Mus musculus: one gene and its partners. The protein of the gene in region 4 purifies or fractionates together with the protein of the main gene of each other region. This does not show direct contact. Links are inferred from orthologs where the notes say so. Each region holds a gene or a part of one and is shown on either strand. Other genes may lie near its edges. The genes, in order: Ago1, Cnot7, Ago3 and Tnrc6a.

Region 1 (5,739 bases), on a different chromosome or scaffold from region 4:
GGACTATAGAGTAGGACCCACGTCCAGACAGACTGACGAAAGCTTATGTCCTGAATTGCTAATGGTTTTATCCTGACGAGTGTCTGATGGGTTCTGGGGTGATGAAGAAAGGGGGCTTGTTTGTTACAGGACAGAAGGAAGCTGCCAGGTGAAGGGCTGGAGAACTGGAGTCAGCTGGATCATTGGGAAAATGCTAGTGGCGTCATCAAAAGACGGAATTAAAATTCAGGCTGGGAACTCTGATGGAGGGACCCCATAGCTGTTTCCTTCTGGGGCTGGACTGCTGTTCTTTTGGAAGGTGCTGGAGTATTCTGAGAAGACTCAAAACACTGTTGCTCACGTCCAGATGTGCCTTCAGTGAACTGGTGTGTTCGGGCATGGCCTGGCCTGAGAGTGCCTTGAGGGTAGAGGTGCTGTCCGACTTATCTGTGTGACAGTGCAGCAGTTGCTTGGCGTCTGGAGGGCCTGACACAGAGAGCATGTTTATTAATTGACTCAGATCATTCAAGTGTGAGCATATGGTTAAACTCATGTGCCTATTCTGTAATTTGTGTCTATGCATGTGGGTGGTTAATGTTTGTGGACAGATATTTTTCGAGAGATCGGCCTCAGTCCTTGCTTGCCCACCACCTGATTGACCGAGGGTACACGCCCTCTGAGTAGTCGGCTGGCTTCTTTAGAAGATGTGTGAGCCCCTGAGTCGCTGGGGAGGAATCCTGAGCCTGGGCCTTGAGCTCGGTTACTTTTCCTTCTCAGTGCTTGTAGGGGATGGGGGAGGGGGAGTGTCATTTTCAGGGCCCCTCCCTTCTTGCTTTTGTCTGCAGGGAAGGGCCCCGCCCCTTTCCCCCTAGGCTGGAGCTTTGTCCTCTGTGCTGGGGCCCTCATCTGCATCACAAAGTGGCCGTCTGTCCCTGTCTGGGTCTGAGGGGAAGTGTCTTCCTTTCTCAGACTAAAAGCTGGGGGCAGGGCGAGGTTGGGGAGTAGAGACTGTACAGCTGTGCAGCTTTCCTGGGGACAGAATGGCAGAGAGGTAGTTGTTTCCTCATGCCTTCTTTCCTAGTTTGGGGATGAAGTGGAGATGTGTTCTCCGTTTTCCCTGAATCCTGGACAGGAGAGTGCTCTTGGGCTGGCACTGGTGTACTGTCCATTTCTGGGGTGGAGAGCGCCCTGAGGGGAGTGTCTGTCTCAACTCACACCCTATAATTTCTGCTTTGCCCTTGGTTCTAGAGGGATGTCTTTCTCCCAGAATTTCAACTGATTTTTTTCAGTTTAGGAGGCAAAAGGTGAATGGGATCCTAGAACTTGGGAAAGGGAAAGATCTATCCGAAAGGGGGCAAGTGCTTCTCCAATGCAGAGTTTATGATTGTTCGTTCGGGACCGTTGCGAGTGTGGTTGTGTAGTTGTGTACTCTTGTGGTGTGCCTATGGGTAGACTTGGTCATTCATTTCATATGGGTATACTAAGTACCTGTCTTTGTGCCCGGCATTAGCTTGAGCTGTGACTAGGTCAAGTATGGTCCTCTTTTTGAAACACTGAGCTGAGGATGGTGAGTGTATGTGCAACAGTAAACTTTAAAGAGCTAGGATGTGAGAGGGGTGTTTGTTAGTGGGCTTGTGCGCAGTGTCCGCTCAGCTCTTTCTGGGATAGGTGTGACTAGTTTAGTTCCTTTGCCGCTGAGTTCTTTGGGCTGGACTTGCATGCTCCTCTGTGGAAAGGGGCTGGGGCTGATTTGACAGGTGGTTAGAGGGAGTCAAGTCCTTCAGCTTTGGAAAGTGTGCACCTCCCACAAAATGGTGCTCTTCCTGACCCCCCTCCCTAAGATATGCTCCGTATCCTCCCACCCCTGCCCCATCCCCCAGTCCTTTCCATGAAAGCAGAGCTCTGGTAAAGGGAGGTTCTGAGTTTATCCCTCTTCCACCTGGGCTAGTCTTCTGCAGGCAAGAACAATAGTAGCTGAGGACAAAGGCCCCACTTAGTCAACACACACACACACACACACACACACACACACACACACACAGAGAGAGAGAGAGAGAGAGAGAGAGAGAGAGAGAGAGAGAGAGAGAGAAAAGCTGGCCTATGCTAGCCTTTCCCAAGGGCCCCTTCTGTTCTGAATCGATCCTTTCTGCTGTCTGGACCCTCTGTGTGGAAAGATTTGTGGAGAATGGAAAGTGCTGTTTATTCCCCTTCTGACCTGCTGCCTCCCCTCTTACTGCTCTTCCTCCTTCCAGAACCTCCAGCTTTCTTCCTCATGTGAGCTTTTCTTTCCTTCTGTTTCTTCATTCTACATCTTGATAGTTTTTTCCCTGTACCCCAATCCAACTTACCTTGCCTTATCTGCACCCTTTCCCCCACCCCCTTCCTGTCTGTTTTCTCTTGTGTCCTCCAGATCCGACCTTCTCTCCCACCCTGGCAGTCTCCTCTTAGTCTGCAGATGCTGTCCTTCAACCCTTCTCTTCTTTATGTCTCTCCAGAGCCAGCCACTGCATGTCTCAATCCTCTCTCAGGCACCGGCCTTGCCCTTCCCAGCCTGGATTACTTAGGGTCATTCTCCTGTCCACATTAACAGAGGGTGTAATCACAAAGTTCTGTGCCATTTTGTGCTCTGGATGGTAATGAGTGAAGTAAGCCTCTCATAGCACAGAATAGGACCTTCTCCATCTGCCAGATGCCCGGTAGAGACAGTTATCTCAGTCTAGTGTAGAAGGAAGAAAAGGTTTTGTAAAACTAGGAAACAGACTTAACTACTTTTCTTGATGCAATAGGAACTCGTTACACATTTACTCGATGAGGTTTCAGATACACATTTTCCTAAATGAAGAAAGGTTTAAAACAAAAATAAAAGAGAAATAAGCCACCAGAAAAACCAGTGAGCCTGTGAGTGTCTGAGCTAGTGGAAGCCCCCTGCCGGGTTAGGAAAACTGGAAAGAGACCAGTGGTCTTGGTCTGAGGGGCCATGTCTGACCACGGTAGGAGACTGCCAGACTCTGTCCTCAGTGGCGTCTTTGTCTTCACAGCGGCAGGTGCCTACCTGCCTCCCCTGCAGCAGGTGTTTCAGGCACCCCGCCGGCCTGGCATTGGCACTGTGGGCAAACCAATCAAGCTTCTGGCCAATTACTTTGAGGTGGACATTCCTAAGATTGACGTTTACCATTACGAGGTGGACATCAAGCCGGATAAGTGTCCTCGCAGAGTCAACCGGTAAGCGATGCCCGCAGGTGGCACCAAGTCCAATTTATTAAACAGGGAAAAGAGGAAGCATGCCGGCTAGACGGAGTGTAGCACGGAGCATAGTCTAATATTTGCTGATGTGCATGAGCACAGAGACTAGAGACTTACTAAAGGAGCTGGTAGAGAAAGAAGTTAAAAGGCAAGGTCAAAATGGCGGGAATAAGAACAGGATGGATGTTCTTGCTTGCAGGGGATGTTGTGGAATGTGTAGTTGGAGGGGTTAGTCGAATAAGAAGCAGATTAAATTGGTTTATTATTACTTGAAAGTCATATTCACAATTAAAAACTAGGAATTAGCAGTGAAAAATTATTGTTCTTGAACATTTTTTTCTACAATCTTGAGTGTATTTTCAGATGTTTTTCTGTACGTGCATACATTAATATATGTACATTAATATTATAGTCATGAGTATATAATACATTCTATAGTAATATATCATCAATTTCTATTATCATTAATTATTAATTATATTCTTAACAAGCACATATAATATTACATTATTACATATTATTGTATATGCATATACACATTGATTTTGTACAAGTATTACATATAATAAAATATATGTGCATTAATGTTATGTATACATACGTGTCATAGTCAGGGTTTCTATTCCTGCACAAACATCCCGACCAAGAAACAAGTTGGGGAGGAAAGGGTTTATTCAGCTTACATTTCCACATTGCTGTTCATCACCAAGGAAGTCAGGACTAGAACTGAAGCAGGTCAGAAAGCAGGAACTGATGCACAGGCCACGGAGGGGTGCTGCTTACTGGCTTGCTTCTCCTGGCTTCCTCAGCCTGTTCTCTTATAGAACTCAGGACTACCAGCCCAGGGATGGCACCACCCACAATGGTCCCTCCCACCCTTGATCACTAATTGAGAAAATGCCTTACAGCTGAATCTCATGGAGGCATTTCCTTCTCTGCGATAACTCCAGCTTATGTCAAGTTGACACACAAAACCAGCCAATACAATATGTAATGTATGAACACATATAATATTAATGTACAATACTATATACTTTGTTCAATATTGTCCATTTTTTTCTGTTTAGCCACATATATTGGAAAATAGCGTATATTAGTTTATTTAGATCTGCCTTATTCTTTTGCATAGTGCCCTAGGTAGTCCTTGGGGTGGCCGCATAACTTTCTTGATCTATTGTGGAATATTTAGGTTGAGTCTAAACTTTGCAACAAGATTGAAACTGTTAAGTATTATATAAAGATACATATTTTCACCCATGCATGAATGTATCTGTAAGATAGAAGTCCTAGGAGTGGAGCCACTGGCACAAGGCAGTTTAAATTGAGACATTGTGGATTCCTAGAGGCTGTGTCAGAAGAACGTAGGTGTGGGAATGAGAGCAAGGTGATGATGGAGAGAAAACTGCTAAGAGTTTAGAGACCCAGAGAGAGGGATTGTTCTACACTTTATTTTATTATTTCTAGGCTAGCTCAGATCGTTTGCTCTTTTTCCTTTTGTTTTTGCTCGACCGACTGGGAATTAGAGGTTGTGGAAGGTTCAGGATAGACCTGAGAACAGGTGCTTCCCCCTCAGAAGGTCTCTGTGGGTGTTGGTGAACTGAGGGCCAACAGTGTCACCCTAGGTTGTGAGAAGTGTGGGTTTTAAGCTACACTGTAGACTACAAATCAGAAGATGACTTTAATCAGACCTGCCGGTTGATAGGAATGTTGAGGCTTTTGGCATACTGCCGAGGAGTAGACAATAGAAAGCAGCATAATACATGGGACAGTGCCTCGATTTTGAAGGGCTTGCAAAAGCCTGACATGATACTCTCAGCTTCCACATGCCACGCCTGTCTTCTGCAGGGAGGTGGTGGAATACATGGTCCAGCATTTCAAACCGCAGATCTTTGGGGATCGCAAGCCTGTGTATGATGGAAAGAAGAATATTTACACGGTCACAGCACTGCCCATTGGCAATGAGAGGGTAAGGCCAGGGATGGCGCTAGGTCTGTGAGCCCAGGGAAGCCCACCTGGAGTCTGTGAGTCCAGCGAGCCTTCTTTTCTTTTGTGTGGAAAAGTATATTTTGGGGCATGATGAGTCAGGGTAGATGCTTACTGTGTGCCTATCCCTAAACAGTGAGATTAGATTAGACGTAAAAATAAAATAAAATAAAATAGAAAGACCCAAAGAATTTCCTTCTAGATTAAGGAGGCCAGAAGCACTGGGGCATCATCTGTGGAGATTGGGTGTGGGTTTTTATTCTGGGTTTTTTTTCTTTTTTAATTTAAGATTTATTTATTATTATTCATAAGTACACTGTAGCTGTCTTCAGGCGCATCAGAAGAGGGTGTCAGATCTCATTACGGGTGGTTGTGAGCCACCATGTGGTTGCTGGGATTTGAACTTAGGACCTTCGGAAGAGCAGTCAGTGCTCTTAGCTGCTGAGCCATCTCACCAGCCCTATTCTGGGGTTTTTAGTGTGAGCCCTTTGGCAGCTTGTGGAGTGGGAGACAGTGACTAGCCGGGAAGACTAG
Region 2 (5,739 bases), on a different chromosome or scaffold from region 4:
CAGGGCTATACAGAGAAACCCTGTCTCAAAAAACCAAAACAAAAACCAAAAACCATCAGTTAAACCCTTCTCATTGATAGCTAAGGATTAATTTAATCATGAAAAAAGTGGACTATTTCTTTCATCGAAGGCTATCAGAAACAAAACTATTTTGACAAGTTGAGTTTTTACTGCTTGCATTAATCGGCAAGGGATTAGGAGTCAGGGACATTTGAGTGTAAGTGGCAGACATGCTTTAGGATTTAGTCTTGCTTCACCTGGGTTTAAGAGATTAAGGGAGGCAGGCTTCCCTGTGCTCTCAGGAAGCTATGGCATTCCTATGGGTTTTTACTGAGTCTGAGCTGCTTTGTGAGAAGGCAAGAGTAAGATACCAAGGCTGCAGATGGGAGGAGTCGCTCACTCAGCTAGGAGGAGAATGTTGTGTGGTTTAGACGTCTTTGGCATGGGGAGGAGGACATGGTTACAGAATGTACTTGTTGATGTACAATTTTGTGAAGCTGATTACGTTCAGTGGGAGGACTATAAAGCCTATCTAAGCATGTCAGCTCAGCTCTAAGCAATCCCAAGGCCGTGCTACTAGGTCCAAATAAGCTTTCAGACCAGTGAGTTCCTGGGTATCTTTTTAAAAAGAAGAAAGATAGAAAAACCAAAGTAGATCTTTTAGAAAAAAAAAAATTGCTAAAGCTCCAGAAACATACTTGATCATTAAACAGTCTGCTCTTATAAGTGGTATTCAGTCTGCCTAGCATGTTTGTATAATTAATTTTCTGCTTTGTTACTACATTTTGTGTATTTGTTATAGCTAGTCTATTTTCTTGGGTTTTTTTGTTTGTTTTTTTTCGAGACAGGGTTTCTCTTGAGACAGGGTTTTTCTCGAGACAGTGCGCCACCACGCCCAGTGCTAGTCTATTTTCTTGATCCACACAATTATTAGCCCTAGAAGGCGATATTTCAATGTCTTGCACCTCTATCCCTGGCCCACTTCACGTCTAGCTTAATTTTTATAGAATCCAGTAATTGGCTGGTGGTTGTATTAAATTCAGCAAATTTTAATTTCTTTGCTGTCATATTGACTTACTATTTTTTTCTTCCTCTTCCTCCTCCTCCTCTTTTTTGTTAGCCTTAATTTGAATGCTCATGCTAAACTAATACATAATTTTACTATCACAATTTAAAAAGAAATGCATCTCTGTGGATAAACAGGAATTTCTTTGTATAGCATACCATTCAGTAAGGTATGCTTGTCCATAATTAGAGCTGAAACTTTCTGTCTCGGCAGGGACCGTTATTTTTATGAGCAGCAGAAATTGTTAGTGGTCATTTATATCTCAGATAATAAGGAATAGCTGCATTACAGAAAGGACAGCTTACAAGAGAGAGTGTGACTGTACACAGAAAACACCTGTGCTAACTAAAGAAATGACATTAATGAGACTTTTTCTTTATTTTGGTGTCTCACTGCTTTGATTGGAAAGCACAGGGTACTTTTTAACTTTTAAATCAATCTTTCATGCGGGTTGAGTTTAGTAATGTAATGCTATAAGTGTAGTTTCATATGCCTACTCCTTAGGAATCAGTTTATGATTTTTCTTTTCCTTGGAAATAGCCCAAATATTTGCCTGAGTTTATTATGAGTTATCAGTACAGGATAGTAATTTATGGATAAATTTCAAGAAAAAGTAATTTAAGTTTATAGAATATTGAGGTCTGATAGGTAATGCTGTTCATGCTTATAAAATAAGCATTGAGTGTGAACATACAGAATTTCATTGTCATAGAATTCTCTGACTTGTATCAAAAATTTCCTGAGAGTTTATGGGTTGTATTTATGACCATTTAGTAAACAATTATCAATTATTTTACAGGACACCGAGTTTCCAGGCGTTGTTGCAAGACCCATTGGAGAATTCAGAAGCAATGCTGACTATCAGTACCAACTGTTGCGGTGTAATGTAGACTTGTTAAAGATAATCCAGCTCGGACTGACCTTTATGAATGAACAGGGAGAATACCCTCCAGGAACGTCAACTTGGCAGTTTAACTTTAAGTTTAATTTGACGTAAGTGGGAAGTAAATATATAACCTCAGTGTCCCTGGAAATGTACTAAATACAGAAATTCAAAAGTTTAGGCTTATTATTACGAGGCAGTTGTAATTGCTTCACAGTTAGAAAGATAATAAAAACTTTCTAATTTCAAAGACTTTAGTTATAGAGATGTTATTTTTAAAATATGATGGTCATTTTTATGGAAAGTTGTGAACCTGTATTTGTGTTGCTGTTTCTGTTGTGTTTGTCATTGTTTAAGGTGCTGCAGATTAAACCTGGGGCCCTAAGCATGACCCTTAGGGTATTGATTTGACTTTTACATTTTGCTGTTGTTTTGCTTTTTTGAGACAGTGTCTCATTACATAGCCTAGGCTGGCCTGGAACTCTCTATGTAGACAATGCTGGGCTCAAACTCCCAGAGATCCATCTGCTTCTGCCTCCCAAGTGCTGGGATTAAAAGGCTTGTGCCACCACACATAGAGCTTTCACATTTGTTTTTATGCCCAACTTGGAATACATATGATTGGGGTGGCGCTTTGCTGACTAAGCAAGCGGGTACCACTTAGCTACAACTCCAATCTACTGTGACTTGTTAAGATAGTTATTATTCCTGTGAAGAAACTATTATTACAGTCATACTTTGCATTCTAAATACTCACCACGTGTACTAAGATATTTCTTGGGAAATTGGGGCTATTTTCTTTTCAAATTCATTTTCTCTAAAGGGCTATTCCAATGCAATCCTCAACCTCTTAATCTACATACAGAAAATGTAATAGTATTGAAGCTTGCATATTTACCAAAACCTGATGTCTACCTCAAATCTTGGGTATAAACTATTTCTTTAGTTAAAATAGTTCTACATTAATTATTACAATCTTCATAGCTGAGGGAACTGCATGAAGGTGAGTCCATCCTTTTGACACAGCATCATTGGCAAAGTTTATGCTCAAGAACCATGCATTTGGATTTTTAAAATTTATATATACACACACACACACAATGTTTTAAGTAAGTTTGCCACATTTATAACCATTGTGGAGTTCATATGACTTCTGAGCTTCAGGATATAAGCGCCTAGTATGAGGCAGGGGCATATTACTGCTGTTCAGGTATGGAAATAAAATATATAGTATATTCTGTACTATGTTACAATATTGTGGTGCCCTTCTGCTTGGTAGCCTATATTTGTATAATATGATCAAACATCTGGTTTGAAAAATAGCAACAGAAAATGATAAGAAAATCAGTGCTAGTGTAAGAATTCTTACATGAGAATGAGAATTCTTTCTTCATTCCTATTTTTTGTTGAATATGTACAGTTTTATGTTAGACCTAATGAATAGCAGGACTGATGGTTTTAGAAGGCAGTAGTGTAAGCGATGCAGTTGTGTATCTTGAAAAATGTGTTGTTACTCCTCTAAATAATCCTGATAGTATTTTAACATCTAGTACTGTCCTGACAGTCCCTATAGACCCTAGAAAGGCTAACGTGCTCATCCCCACTGTCATTTCATAGTGCTTCATGAGTACTACAGCTTTGGAACAGGTGAAAATGTCCTCCCATGCTCTCCTCAAATGATTACTGTGTTCTTTAGTTTTTTCCTATTTTAACTTCTTCAGGGTTCTTTTTACCCCTCAAATTAATCATCATAGCATTGGGTGTTGTTTGGTTTTTTTGTTTTTGTTTTGTTTTTTTATATAAGATACTCAGTTTGTGACTGGGAGCTAATATCTCAGGGTATTAGTTGGTAAAGCTGGTAGTCTTCATTGCAAGGATGGTAATTTTTGTAGCAGTGGCTTTTCCATTATTCTCCAGGAACATTTGTTTTTTTCTTACTCAGACAAAACTAGTTTTACCGCCAATTTTGCTACTATTTCTACTAATGGTAACATCATAGGATGGTAAAGAAAAGAGTGCATTGGCTGGTGAGGTGGCTCAGTGCTTAAGTGCCTGCCATCATGGTGGATGATCTTAAGTATGATGCTCAGGACTCACATGGTGGGAGAGAACTGAATATGTGTCATATGATGGACATGTGCAGGCGCGCGCGCGCACACACACAATGAAAATTTTAGGCTAAAATTTTTAAGAACATAGTGAAAAATGTTAATGAGAACAAAAGCCTTTGAGAAGATAAAAGTAGTACTGCATAATGTGGGAAGCATCATAATAGCATCTTAGACGTGTTGAAGGATGGTGGAAATTGACCTTGTTGAATGCCTAGAAGGAGCGTGTTAGTGCACTAGGCTCTGCAGCACAGTGTTGGTGAACATTGTCCAACATCATAATAGCCTAGTGGTTTTCATCTCTCTGCCTGTTGTCTGTGCTTGCGAAAATTTTTGTGTTTAATTCTCACATTTGTCCAAGTCAGGGTTCTTTTAGGTTTGCCAGTGTTGTTTCAAGTTTTACCATTAGCATCAAGGGAGTAAGTGCAAAGCATTATTTATCAGGTGTAAATAGAAAGATTTGTGGAAAGATATGTATAGTTGCAGTGTGTGTTGCATTAAGCTTTGCATAGATTCTTGAGAGTAGCCCACTTATAAGAAATACCTACAATTGGAAGAACGCTCTTCAAGTCTTACTTAACATTCTCTGAATCTTGAAGGCATGACTTGTAATACCTAGATCAGTATTAGGTAACAAACATTTAGGAAAAAATAAATACTCTCTATGTAAAAATGTGTCTTTAGACATATTGGTATTTTGGTCACTGTAACTGTTGTACTTACTGTGGGCTTGAAAGCAAGCATGGTTATTAATGTGTGTTTTCAAGCTAAGACTTTGCTTTCTTTGCCCAGTGCTTGATAAACTCTGTAACAGAAAAAGAACATCACAGCCATAGTTAACGAGCACACTGGCTGCTATTGTGTCCTCTTCAGAGCTAAACTTGAGTGTTATGGAGTGAGCAAGCTGGATTATCCTCACCACTGACATAGCCTAAAACTGTTGGCTTGATGGACAGCATTTTCTAGTAGTGTTTTCTCACCTTCTCATTAGCTCCTCAGGTTAAAGGTGAGGTAAACACACTTGCGAGGTGTGGATTTACCCACAGGATTACTGTTAACATTGAAGTATATACATTTCAGACATAAAGAAAGAAAACTTGACTGTAACAGTGTTACACTGTGACTTTATAAAGCATATTTGCTGACATTTTTTTTCTTTTTTACAAAAAGCATGCTTTTGAAACTGCATTAGTATTGAAAAGTTGAAACAACTTTTACTAGTTTCTCAACACTTCCTCCTAGTTGTTGTGTAACTATTATATTTTTGGTATATATTAAGGATTTCTCATTTATATGTGATATTGGTGATATTGTTATTCAGAGTTCTGAGTAATCCGTTATTTGACCTTTTTCTGGTTTTTTTTTGTGGGGTTTTGTTTTGGTTTTTTTTGTTGTTTGTTTGTTTTTTGTTTTATTTTGCATAGCCCTGGTTGTCTTGAACTTGCTTTGTAGACCAGGGTGGTCTCGAGCTCAGAGATCTGCCTGTCTGCCACCTAAGTGGACCTTTTTCTTAATGTACTGTGGTATATCTAACTATGCTGTGGTTGGATGATTAGGGTCTATGCTTTAGGTTCTTTAGTGAGCCCTTCACATGGCTCCTGACTCATGATGGCTCAACTTACACTTTTTGACTATATACAGAAGTAGTATGCATTCAGTGGATGAGACATTAAATTTTGAAT
Region 3 (6,539 bases), on a different chromosome or scaffold from region 4:
ATGTAGTCAAACACTCATAAGGTAAAAGTAAGTAAAACCTTTTTGCAAGATTATATAAAACTATCAGCCACGACAACTCTACTTACATAGTAGTAATTTATGATAAAAATAAGTGGTTTCCCTCCATGAGCCTTTTCACCTCCAATGTTGGGGATGGAATTTGTAGTACGCTAGGAAAGCAATCCATAACTGAAACGCCCATCTTCACATAGAGTATTAGAGAATATTTACATTTAAGTATAATTCCTTTCTGAACAACAGCTGGGCTTTACCTAAAAATATAAACTAGAGTACTAGGGTTCAAAAATAGGTAGTGTTTACATGAACATTGCCTGATTTTCCTGTTCTCATTTTATTTAGAAATAAAGCATAGCCCATATATTTTATTTAACTCAATTGTAATTAGACCAAAAAAGTTTTATAAGATTTACCCCCAAGGAATCATAAACATAAATGCCAAATTATTATTTAAAATGAATTATTCCCTTTTTTTTGTTGTTAAATTGAAATTGAGGTGGTACTAATTAGTGGACTGTATAGGACAACTGAAAAATGCCTTATAGAGCTAGGTATGATGGCATACAGCTTTAATCTACACAAGGAGACCTAGTTTCACAAATAACCCTTGTAATATTTCATGCAAATAGGAAAGAAAGAATAAATATTTCTAGTAAGGAATGCTCCATCACTAAATAATTACATAATAATTATATTTTATATCCTCTATTGCACTAAAAGGAAAACAGAATTTGAGAACCAAAATTTCAGTACTAACCTAATAGACTGTTAGAAAGCACCTATATCTATTTTTTTCAAATTTAAAATTTATTATATTGCTTTATGTGTATGAATGTTTTACCAGCACATATGTATGTGCACCATATGCATGCCTGATGCCCTTGGAGGTCAGGAGAGGGCATCAGATCCCCTGGGACTGAAGTTATAGTTTTGAGCTACCACATGGTGCTAGGAACCAAACCCGGGTCCTCTGCTGAAACAGCAAGTGCTCTTACTTGCTGAGCCATCTCTCCAGCCCACATAGCTAAAAAATGTCAAATCTGAATTTAAAACCTAGTTGTCTATTTTCCTAAGTATGTTTCAATTTCACATTCACTGTAACAATTACATAAAAATCGCAAGAACAACACAAAAAACTCTCTCTCCCTTTTTCTCTCTGTTTCTCCTTCCTTCCTTCTTTCTTTCCTTCCTTCCTTCCGAAGGGTCTCACTATGTAGCTTTGGCTGGCCTAGAACTCACTATGTAGACTAGACTGGCCTCTAAATCACAGAAACCCAGGTGTTGAGGTTAAAGCCATGGGTCGCTGCACCCAACCAAAAGAATCATTTTGATGGTAACAACCTTGAGCCTGATAGTAAACAACAGCCAGTCACACATAAACTTCACTGAAGAACAAATTCTATGTTTCAAGATGGCCAAGCATGGCTGGTAGAACTGTTTTGTTTGTTTTTATTCAATGAACAACAATTTGGTTGTTTTGTTGTTTGTTTAGACAAGGTCTCACTAAGTAGCCCCAGCTGGCCTAGAACTCTTTATGTAAATCAGGCGGGCCTCCAACTCACAAAGATTGAACCATCTCTGCCTCCTGAATGTTGGGACCGAGGTGTGAGCCACCATTGCCAAACTAGTTAATAAATCTTAACTATACCTTCCCTGATGGGAAGACATCAACTGCTCTATATTTTATCAAAACAACACCCAAAAAGAAAAGGTACATTTTACTGAGTCAGGCTTAGCTAATTGTATCAACTGAGTAGTTGGCCCTATATCACAAATAATCAACACATGTCAATATTTTCACATAAAAAGCCCAAATAGGGAAAATACTCAATTTGGGGGAAAGCTCTTCAAAAGTTTTAGGTAGATGATTAACACAACCTTAAATGTCATATTTAGTTTTCCAGGCTTGGCAACAGGGTAGCTATGTAAAAATCAGAGAGCTGGAAATAATCAGATTATCTTATAAAGTAAAAGCAGTACAGACAGAATGTAAACTTTTAAAGCATAGAAAATACAGTCTGGAAACACACATATTGATAATAAGAGTCCAAAACTTCACAGCCTAGACATATTTCACTGTTAAGAAAATATGAGAAAAAAAATGGAACATAGAAAGGGAAAAAATGGTAGACACTGAGTAGAAAGAAATTCCACATAATAAAGGAAATGCCTTTTTGTATCCCTTCGACAATTATGCCCTGAACTGATTTGAAGGCCTTCTATGTTGCTAGTTTTAGTTTTGGGTTTTTTTTTTTCTCTTATATTTGGGGACCTTTCAAATTGGCAAGATGAGATATGAAATTCAGTGACTTGCTAGGACATAATAACAAGGCAATCCCCCAAATATATGAAAACAATATATTACTGATCTTGTGGATGGAGAGAACTTTCAAACTGGAGAACAGGGTGACTGCTGGGCCAGCAGGCCGTTATGTAACACCTATTTCATGTTACTCTATCAACTACTTTAGAATCGCTGACTACTTTTTCCTTTTTAAAGACAAGCACTATCCAGGCCGGCTTCCTTTCTCAAGACCTCTTTTTTTTTTTTTTTTTTTTTTCCTCAAGAGACAAATCCTAAATTCCAGATTTCCTGTGCAGGGAATAGAAAATAGAGGGGAAATAGTGTCAGCATCCTGAAGCTCTGCCTTCTAGTAAGCAGTGGTCCAGAGCGACAGGACATCTCCGAGCTCCTCAGAAACTACACACTCAGACACTGAGAACCAGGGGTGGGAGCAATGCCATCTTGCATCTGACGTCGCCCGAGCACCAATTAGAAACGTAATCATTGATTATCTCAGAGTATCCTCAAACTACACTAATAGGTAGATAAGGGTTATGCCTGACTTGTTCTGCATCCATGGGACACACGACCCGGTTAAAGGACAAGCGCGCCCTTTATATTTCCAACAAGAATTCCAAAAGCAAGGGCAAACTTCTCTCCATTCTCAGGGGAAAGCACTCTAGGGGGATGTCATCACCTACAGAACTCCAAACTTAAGCCCTCCTTGTAGTTTCGCCAACTCAATGACCCCAAGAGTGTAGGTCCCTGGGCTGTGGAGAGGACACCCGCATCGGGCCTGAAAGCCCGCAACTCCCTCACTATGTGCGCTGACAGCACCTGAAGTGGAAGGAACAAGGATGCTCAGGGGACAACATCGGGGTAACGACCCCACCTGCCCTGTCCCGCAGCTCGCCTCACCTGCGGAGCCGATTTCCATTCATGGAGCTGGGGGGAGTGCTTCACGAGAGAAGGGTGCCACCACAGAGGCGAGGAGCGGACGCCCTCGGAAAGCTCCGGGCACAAGAGGCACAGTCGGGAGAGACAGACAGCCTGCAGCGAGGTAAGAGCGGCGACAGTCCTGAGTGAGGACGCTGGAACCAGGTCCGGAACTTGCGTCGCCCACAGATGCTGACGCGTGCAGCTTCCCGACCCGCCAGCCGCCCCGCCGCCGCAGCCGCTCGCTTTTCCCGGTCGCCCCCGGAAGCCCGCTCGCGTCACTTCCGCTCTCCGGATCCCGCCCCGCTCTCCCTCCGGGTCGGCAGCTCGCCTGGAGCCAGAGCCTTGCGGGAGCAACAAGGTCTGGGGATCTGTGGGCGGGTGAGCCGGTGCCTGGCTGGGGCGGAGCCGCGGATGGGCGGTCGCCCTGCACCCGCTGTGCCTGACGGCGACAATCCCGAGCGAGAGGCCAGCTTTCCCCGTGCCAGCCTCCCGGGTGAGGACCGCTGCTTGAGGCGACATCGCTGCCTGCCCGCGGAGCTTACCTGAGGTACATCCTACCTGAGAGTGGCGGGTGACCAGCCAAGGGCATCCTCCCTCCCAGCTCCGTCTGCCACACCCGCTTGGAGCACGTGCACTAGGCGGTGACCACAAGTTCAATATAGTTTTTAAACGGATGAACAAGAAACGGGATGTTCCATGTATACCAGATGGAATTACGTTTATGTTTAAACAGTCTCCCAATACGTTGAGGAACCTAAACGACCTTCCGGTGTTTAAACACCTGCTAAACCTTCTCTTCCTTGGGACTCGAGACTTTTACAGCTAAATTGGTCAGCCTCCAGTTTCCCCGATCCGATCCAGTCTGGTGCTTTTCTGCTGACTTGGAACCTTTGGGAGACTAGACCCAGCTCATTATCCGGCAAATAGTCCGTCTTTTAAAAATACTTGGCTTCGTGAAACCAGATACTTCATGCAAGCTTAGCAATGATTCAGTATTTTTCCCCGTGTCCCAATGAACCAGTAATGTTTTGACATATATTTCTTTTTTAAAAAAGAGAATTGAGAAAGATTTTATTTTCACGATCCCTTCCCTCCCCGTTTTGGGTTTTTGGATTAGTCACTTTATCTTTGGACTTTAGTTTCCTCATCAGAAAAACTGAAAGGAAAACAAAAAACAAAAACCTCCCAAATGTTAGTAACAAAAATATTTACAATAGTTACAATTTTGAGGTACTTAATAAATATGCTGACTACATAATAAACATTTAATACATGGAAGTGACTCCAAGCCACATCTAGCACACCAATTCTGCCTCTCTTCCTGTTGACTGAAAAGAAATACTCTTATCACTTTTAAAATATCACATCCTCAGATGAATGAGCACATCTTAAAAGTCATGTTCAAGCTCTGATTATATACAATCCATATTGACCTAAGCCATAAGAACTAAATCTCAGACTTGTGGAAGGACCTATCCTACCCCCAATCTCTTGATTCTGGAACTAGTTCTTTGAATGAATGCAAGCTCAACTAGCTTCCAGAAAAACATGGTGTGGTGACAAACAGCATGCTTTTATTTGTTTTCAAATGTGTGTGGTGGTGTCTGGTCTCTGCACTTCTGGTGTCTTGGAGGCAAGAAGAGGGTGGCAGATTCCTGAGAACTGTTCAAACAGTTGTGAGCCATCCTGGGTGCTGGGAAGCACTTAGGTTCTCTGGAAGAACAGCCAGTGATCATAACCACTGATTCATCTTTTCGAAGGTGCTGCCTTTTTTAACACTGAAGGAAGATTTGCGTCCTTAGAGTCAGTGAAATCCAACAAATATCTGTGATGGGTTCCTATCTACTTTTGCTTTTACTGTTTTAGGGTAAACCCACATGAAAAACTCATGAATTAAAATTTAAAGTAGGGAGGCAAAAAGGTCTAGGAGATTCTTGCCGATGAAAAGTTGTATGAGACTTTCCCCTGGCCAAATACTGTTTGGGGTAACTGATTTCCAAATGAGCCTAATCTTGGGGACATAAAGTTTTGTGTATCTTGTTAACTGCCACACCTTCAGTACCAGAGCAATGCTTGTTGCTGTCCTGTAAGAGCACATTAACTATTTGCTGGCTGGCTGGCTGGATTGTTTTCAAGGATAGGGCTCAAGAAGTAGGATAAAACTGTGGCTTATGCCTGATGGCATCGATGGTTCTCAGAAGGAAGATCTATAAAACAGTACAAAGTCTCAGGTGCAGAGGAAGCAGTGAACACTGTGCACTGAGCATCCCAGCAGCCACCTCAGCCAGACAATGCAAATTTTCTTTAAATACGACTAAAAAAAGCATGAACTAGAAAAGTTAGAAAGACAGTAAATTTAACTTTACATTAATAAATTGGACATAAAAATGGGACGTTTTTTTCCTATTCATAACGAAAGGCAAGACATGGGTTAGGAAAAATTACATATATATGTACACATATGTGTATATATACACATATTATCTCCAACAAAGAACTTATTTCTTGAATTTTATATGCTTTCATAGCTCATTAAGACAAACAACCAAATTTAAAAAGGAGTAAACTACATGAACCACCCAACAAAAATACCAGGGTATCAAATAGTTACACGAATACATGAGTCGCCATGACAAAGCACATTAAAATACCAAATGCTCAGTGCATTTCAAACTTCCTACAGTAACGTGTGGTAAGGCCTTGAGGCCTCCAAATGAGATTCAGGGATTTAAGAATACTCACTTTCTTCCCAACTGCCACTGTTATTCTACAGCCCTTCATGTGTCTGTAGTCTCCTTCCTGTGTTAGGGAAGACACACCACTAAAAAATGACAGCCCCCACCAGTCGTTTCTAGAATGACTTGTGTTTGGATCACCAGCAACAAACACAATATAAAACATGGGCTGTAAGAACACATGGAGCCAAGGCTGAAGGCTCTCTACTACTCTCCATAAGCCAAGGTACCCACCCAAAGGTCCTTACCTGCTTCTGTCTTGTCAGACATAACTAACCTTCCTAGTCCTTACGATGCAAAGGATAAGTCCCATTAATGTAAGTCTTATAAAGGATGACTTTGCTGCTTTCCCAGTGGCATGAGAAAATGAGCCAGTGAGACATGAAGCCTGAATTGCAAGGGCATCCAGAGGAAGATTTCTTTGTTTTAGAAAGAAACACTGTAAGGGGAAAAAAAAGTCCTTCTATCTTCTGACATGGCTGCTTTGAAGGATTGCTTCTTTCATGTTCTCTGCATATCTTCCCAAGCGTGTAAACCTTCCTCAGCCTAGAGTCAAAACAATG
Region 4 (5,739 bases):
GTGGACCAACAGAGCTGGAGCCCCACGTGGATGCATTGGATGCTGCAGTAATGGGTTCTCCCCAGCTGGGACCACTGTCTATGGGCTTGCCCCAGGCTGAAGTACCATTATCCACAGTTGTGGCTGGAGTAGAAGGCTCTGCCCAAGGCTCACCCCAGCCTTTAGAAAGTATGGGAAAAGAAGTCATCAGCATAGATATTAGGAAGCACCTCAATTAAAGACAAGGAAGAGGACTTGGGAAATGAGATGAAGAATTTCACATCACACACTGAAAAATGATGCTGTGACAACCAAGAGACATATTTTGTGGAGAACACAAATTATTCTGCATTAATATAATTGTATAATGTTTTAACCTTTTCTTTCAAAACTGCCTTCTTGGTGTTAGGGCAGACTCTTTTCATTATAGCAAATTATTTTCCTAAAAATGTCAGGTTCTTCTGAACCAAAGCTTGAGAGCTGAGGCAGGTGCGGTGTAAAGTTCCACTAATTACACTGTCCTGAAAGGACGCTCTTCCCACATCACTGCAGTGGAGAACAGCTGACTATAAGACTACCATCAGGTACACAGCCACCCTGCCTTTAACACATTGGAAAAAAGGTCTACACTTTCCCTAAGAAATAAGTATAAATCAATAGACTAGGCTTATATTTCAAAACAAAACAAAACAAAACCCCCACACAATTAGGCACTAAAAGAAGAATTCATGAAAACATTACCGGCTCTCTAACCAATGGAGCATTATTCAATAAAACTCCTGTTAACAAAGGCAATGTAGGGCTGCCACATTTAGAAAATGTTGCCCTATCAATTTACAGAGAAAAAACTTTGAGTACAGGAGAGCAAAGGTCAGAGTATACTAGAAAGCAGTGCGATGCTTCAGGTGCACACATTATCCAGTTAACTGAGGAGGTACTAACTTCATGCCTCAGTGAGAAAATCCCATAAGATCAAATATAATACCAAATATCTAGAGTACGGTCCTCAGGCATTTGGCTTTATTGTACTTCAGTAGTGAAACCACGTTGTTAAGGCTTGACTAAGAATACCTAAGTGTGTAAGTCTGCACTTAACCTCTTCTACTACATTCCTAACACAACAGAGCAAGACTCCACAAACCAGAGCTGTTGCCAGGTGAATGTCACCTCTAGGTCACAGCTGAAAGGTCTTGATGTGCATATCCAAGAGCCGTGTTACACAAATCTTATGACAGGCATGTCAACACAAAGCTTGCTTCCACAATACCTCTGCACTCCACACGGGAACGCTTACCAGAGCCACTGCTGGTCTCCTTGCTTGAGACGGCACTTGCGGCTGGCAATAGCCGGTGCATCTGCGCTTGCTGGTCTGAGCGGCCGCTGGCTTCCGGGATGTTTTTATTCCACATGTTCACATTTTTGTAGTTGTATTTGCTTGGATCTCCCCAAGCTGAAGTTCCATCATCGATCTCCATTTTTCTTCGTATAGATTCTGGGGATGGCTCCTCCCAGCCTGTGGGTTCTTCCTCCTTTGCTGGAGCAGGAATAGGTCCCCCGAGCCAGCCTGTACCAGGAGGCTTGCTGGTGGCTGGTGGGATTCCCCATGATCCAACAATGTCTTGTTGCTTGTTCCAATCTGGAGAACTAACTGGCTTTGATGAATCTCCCCAACCTAGAGACTGATTACACTTTGGAGGGTCTCCCCACCCCTGGGAAGAGTTCGGTTTAGAAGATTCATCCCATCCCGATGAGTTATTTGGATTTATATTATTTCCCCAAGTAAAAGAACTAGTTTTCCCAAGTTCGTTCCAACCAGAAATGGACCTGTCACTGTCACTGCCTCCTGAGCTGGATTTCTTATTGGCCTCACCCCAATGGTTACTCCTGGAAGATTCTCCCCAGTTATCACCGGCAGAAATGGACCAACCTTGGCTTGACTTTTGTCCGTCACCCCAGCCTTGTTTGCTCTTTTGCGAATCATTCCATGTAGACTTGTCTTCCTTGCAACCCCCCCACTGGTTGCTCTTGATCATTCCTGTAGCAGCAGAGTCATCTTCCCACCCCCCCTGGCAGTTTGAGCCTTTGGAATCTCCCCACCTCAGAGTAGGTTTGGGATCACCCCACCCTGATACAGATGAGGTATCATTACTATTAGGGCTAGTCTTATCTGTACATGCCCCTGAGTTAAAAGTCTGTGTTGCAGAGCTTCCCCAGGCCTCTGTCCCATTGTCAGTCTTTCTTTCCCCTCTTGGTGATGTCTCTGTATCCCAGGCAGTATTCTGCTTAATAGGAGTCTGTCCCCACCCAGAGTTGGATAGGACACGTGGATCTAAGTCAGTTCTGTTTACAATGCTTTGGAGTAATGTGTGCTGATCAATTTTTCTTCTATCTCTACTCTGACTTTCCCCGGTTACTTTTTCTTCAAGGCGTCCAGTGCTCTCTGCACTACCATCACTCTCCACTGTGCCTCCTGCTTTGGCCCACACACTGTTTTGCTCATTTGTCTGAGATGTGGCAGAACCCTGATCGTCTTCCTCAGTAGATTTCCATCCATTTGTAAGCTTCTTACCATTGCCATTTGCACTGTCATTGGAATGCTGGTTGCTAGGCAGTTTGTTCCACTCGACACTGGATAGACCAGTGCCAGTGTTCTGTGCAGGACTTCCCCATCCTCTTCGACTTCCTCCAGAATTTGCACCATTTCCACTTCCCCATGGTGAACTCTGGGAATTCACTGTCCCAGGCTCCCATACACCTCCCCCTTTATTTGTATTAACTTGAAAGTTAGTGCCCATAGGCCCATTTATGCCAGGCTGCATTAGAGTTGCATTCACAGTGTCACCATTGGCTTGGCCATTAGGGCCTGCACATTTGTCGCCAGAGTAATTAGAACCATAGGCACCCCATGTAGTACCGTAGGAGCCTCCAGTTTTTGACTCTCCATTACTAAGGTGAGAAAGGGAAGTGCCATTCATAACTGACGGAGCCTGTATCTGAGGATGATTCATTGTGCTCACACGCCAGGCCCCTGGATTACTAGTAGGCAGTTCATTATTTTGTACTGAACCGGAGTTTGGTAAACTAGAGGTCATAAAGTTAGTAGTGTTATTTGGTCCAGTCGTTTCAGTGGTGATATTCTGAGGTTGACCACTGAATGAAACCTTCTGTGTACCACTTACTTCAGGCTCACAAGTTTCCTGAAGGCTACCCCAGGTACCATGGGTAGAAGAGCCACTGACTTTAGAGTTGATATTCTGATTGTTAGGCATCTGGCCTATGGTACTACACTGAATATTGATGCCAGAACTCCCACTCCCTACAGGCCCTTTTAGGGCAAGTCCATTGTTTTCTAATACTGGCCAGGCACCATGGTTGCTAGCTGAATTCAAAGTGCTTGGATTTAACCCTCCATTTGATGAAGAACTTACAGTGCCCCAAGCATTCATCCTATTGTTACTACTTTCTGGTTTGCTTTCAGGAGCATCCACAGAGACCTGACATGTGCTTATTAGGGCTCCATGGGGAAAGCCCCATGGGCCAGTACTACTTCCATGGCCCACATTATTGCTGCTGCTACCAACCACAAATTTGCTTTGAGAACCAAGTCCAGTGCTGTTCCGAAGGCCATCTTTCTCACCACCTGTGTTCCCTGAAGCCATGACAGTGATGTTTCTCTCTGACTCAGAATTGGAGGCAGAATCAGCATCTATACATTCTGGAGCCAACTCAGGATCACTGCCAGGGGCTGAGGGCCATGCTTCTTTTTCCAACAAGTCGTTTACAGCATTCTTACAGCTTGTGCTACAGTCACTTGTAGAAGACACAGGTCCCCGCTGGCAATTTTCATAATGGGATCCTGAAGTATTATGATTTATATCTAGAATAAAGGAGAAGTATATCTATTTATAAGTGTTAACAATTTCCAAAATAGTATGTAGGCTGAGAAAAATGACGATCCATTAGAAATACACGTAGCTCCTCAACATTAGCAAGATGCTCCGCAGAATGGCTGTGAGGCGCTGATTATCTTTCAGCCACCAAGGCTCCATGTTCAGTAATTTCACAGGCAGAATTCTGCTGCTTTGTTCAATACCCTACAGTACAGCATGGGACAAAAAGTCCCACAGGGAGACCTGCTAAATATATAAACGGACAACATCCAACAAATATAAGAATTCTGGAGAGAAGACTGAGTGGTAATGATGAATTAGGGCAATCCAGGCTTAGGACTTGACACGGGAGAAAACAGACTGGGATGTAAAAAGCTAAGTAAGCGTAAGCAGCCCAAAATGATTCCGTTTCCTAAAACAGCTTTCCACACAACTCCTTTGGGTTAGAAGAATTCTGTAAGGATCCCAAAGCCTTTGCACTGTATTTCTGGTTTATTAGTGTATACACTTAATTACCATGCTATACATAAGGAAGAACATTAACTTTAAACAATTTCCTAATTTACTTTCATAGCCATGCTTAGTAAGAGACAACACAGAAAAATTGGTATGCTGAAAATCACCAAATTATGATCAGTAATTCAGCAGCTGATACTGAAGGCCATAGGCATCCATCACATGACCAAGCCTTAGATTGGCATCTAACTACCATCTGTTTTTATTTCTATTCTTTCCCGCAGTGTTTTTGTTAGTTTCTCCATCTATCTCATTAAAGGGTCCAGTGGGTAGACATGCATCTGTGACATTGGCTACATAAAACATTTGTACTTAGGCTGTCTTCAAGTGTGACTTTCACTATAGTTCCCAGGATGAAGGTCTGGAAATAAGTCCAAGTCACACTATTAGTGTGATTTGCTAGTATGGAAAAATGTTGCTGCTTGTCTCACTTTTTCTCAAAGTACAAATGCTAAGAAACAAATGATGAAGAGCTGTAATAATGGCAAGAAAAGCAACTAGAGATTGACCTGTAACAAATCCAGTAAATATAATTTAAGTAAGTGCTGCAAAGTGCACCAACTACTACTCCCTTTACAATTATTTCATCACAGTGTGAGTAGCTGGTTCTGGTCACACCGTGAATCCAAGCCCTCAGGAGGCAGATCTGTGATTCAGAGGCAAGCAAGGACTAATTAGTAGAACCCTGTTCATCCGTCCATCCATGCCCCCCAAAAGTAGTCGATGATATTTGTCTTCTTTATTGCTTATGTAGAATCCACATGATAAAAAGAACCAAAAAGTCAGCCTTCCTGGAAGAAATAATTCTATACTGCAACATACAAGGGCAATATCAATCCACGGCTAGCACTCACTGCTACACAGCAGCAGGTCTGCAAACTCTTGCAGCAAGTGCCTGGGACCATTGTAGAGTACAAGTGTTGCCCTCACTTTGTATGTGAGAAACCGAGGGACAAAAGTTAACTTGTAGAAACTGAGTGAGAGAAGCAAGATGTGCTGGACAGTTTTAAGTTAACTTCATACACGCTAAAGTCATGAGAGAAGGAAACCTTCATTAAAAAAATGGTTTCCAAGCTACACGAGGTGGTGTATGGGGAAGCAGGAACAGACAGATCTGAGTTTGAGGCCATTTGGTCTATAGAACAAGTTCAAGCATAGTCAGGACTACACACAGAGACCCTGTCTCATAAAAGCAAAACTAAAACCAAAGTCAAACCAAAACCAAAACCCAATCAAAAAACAAAACAAAACAAAACAAAACAAAAACAAAAACAAAAACAAAAACCTGATCAAGCTGTTGGCAACCAACCCCATAGGGTAGTTTCTTGATTAATGATTGATAGGGGAGTCAGTC

The links.
Region 1: the proteins of Tnrc6a (region 4) and Ago1 purify together in Homo sapiens (affinity purification with mass spectrometry; 10 studies listed by BioGRID and IntAct, with this or other methods). This does not show direct contact. The link is inferred for Mus musculus from reciprocal best matches to the Homo sapiens genes TNRC6A and AGO1.
Region 2: the proteins of Tnrc6a (region 4) and Cnot7 purify together in Homo sapiens (affinity purification with western blotting; 3 studies listed by BioGRID and IntAct, with this or other methods). This does not show direct contact. The link is inferred for Mus musculus from reciprocal best matches to the Homo sapiens genes TNRC6A and CNOT7.
Region 3: the proteins of Tnrc6a (region 4) and Ago3 purify together in Homo sapiens (affinity purification with mass spectrometry; 7 studies listed by BioGRID and IntAct, with this or other methods). This does not show direct contact. The link is inferred for Mus musculus from reciprocal best matches to the Homo sapiens genes TNRC6A and AGO3.

The regions. Positions count from the first base shown.
Region 1 is NC_000070.6:126,461,134-126,466,872, reverse strand, and holds part of Ago1 (protein argonaute-1), read left to right. Parts: intron 1-3,017; coding exon 3,018-3,201; intron 3,202-5,067; coding exon 5,068-5,188; intron 5,189-5,739.
Region 2 is NC_000074.6:40,503,775-40,509,513, reverse strand, and holds part of Cnot7 (CCR4-NOT transcription complex subunit 7), read left to right. Parts: intron 1-1,865; coding exon 1,866-2,059; intron 2,060-5,739. UniProt on the Homo sapiens protein: Has 3'-5' poly(A) exoribonuclease activity for synthetic poly(A) RNA substrate. Its function seems to be partially redundant with that of CNOT8.
Region 3 is NC_000070.6:126,426,048-126,432,586, forward strand, and holds the start of Ago3 (protein argonaute-3), read right to left. Parts: upstream 3,496-6,539; 5' UTR 3,240-3,495; coding exon 3,221-3,239; intron 1-3,220.
Region 4 is NC_000073.6:123,167,653-123,173,391, reverse strand, and holds part of Tnrc6a (trinucleotide repeat-containing gene 6A protein), read right to left. Parts: intron 3,857-5,739; coding exon 1,274-3,856; intron 160-1,273; coding exon 1-159.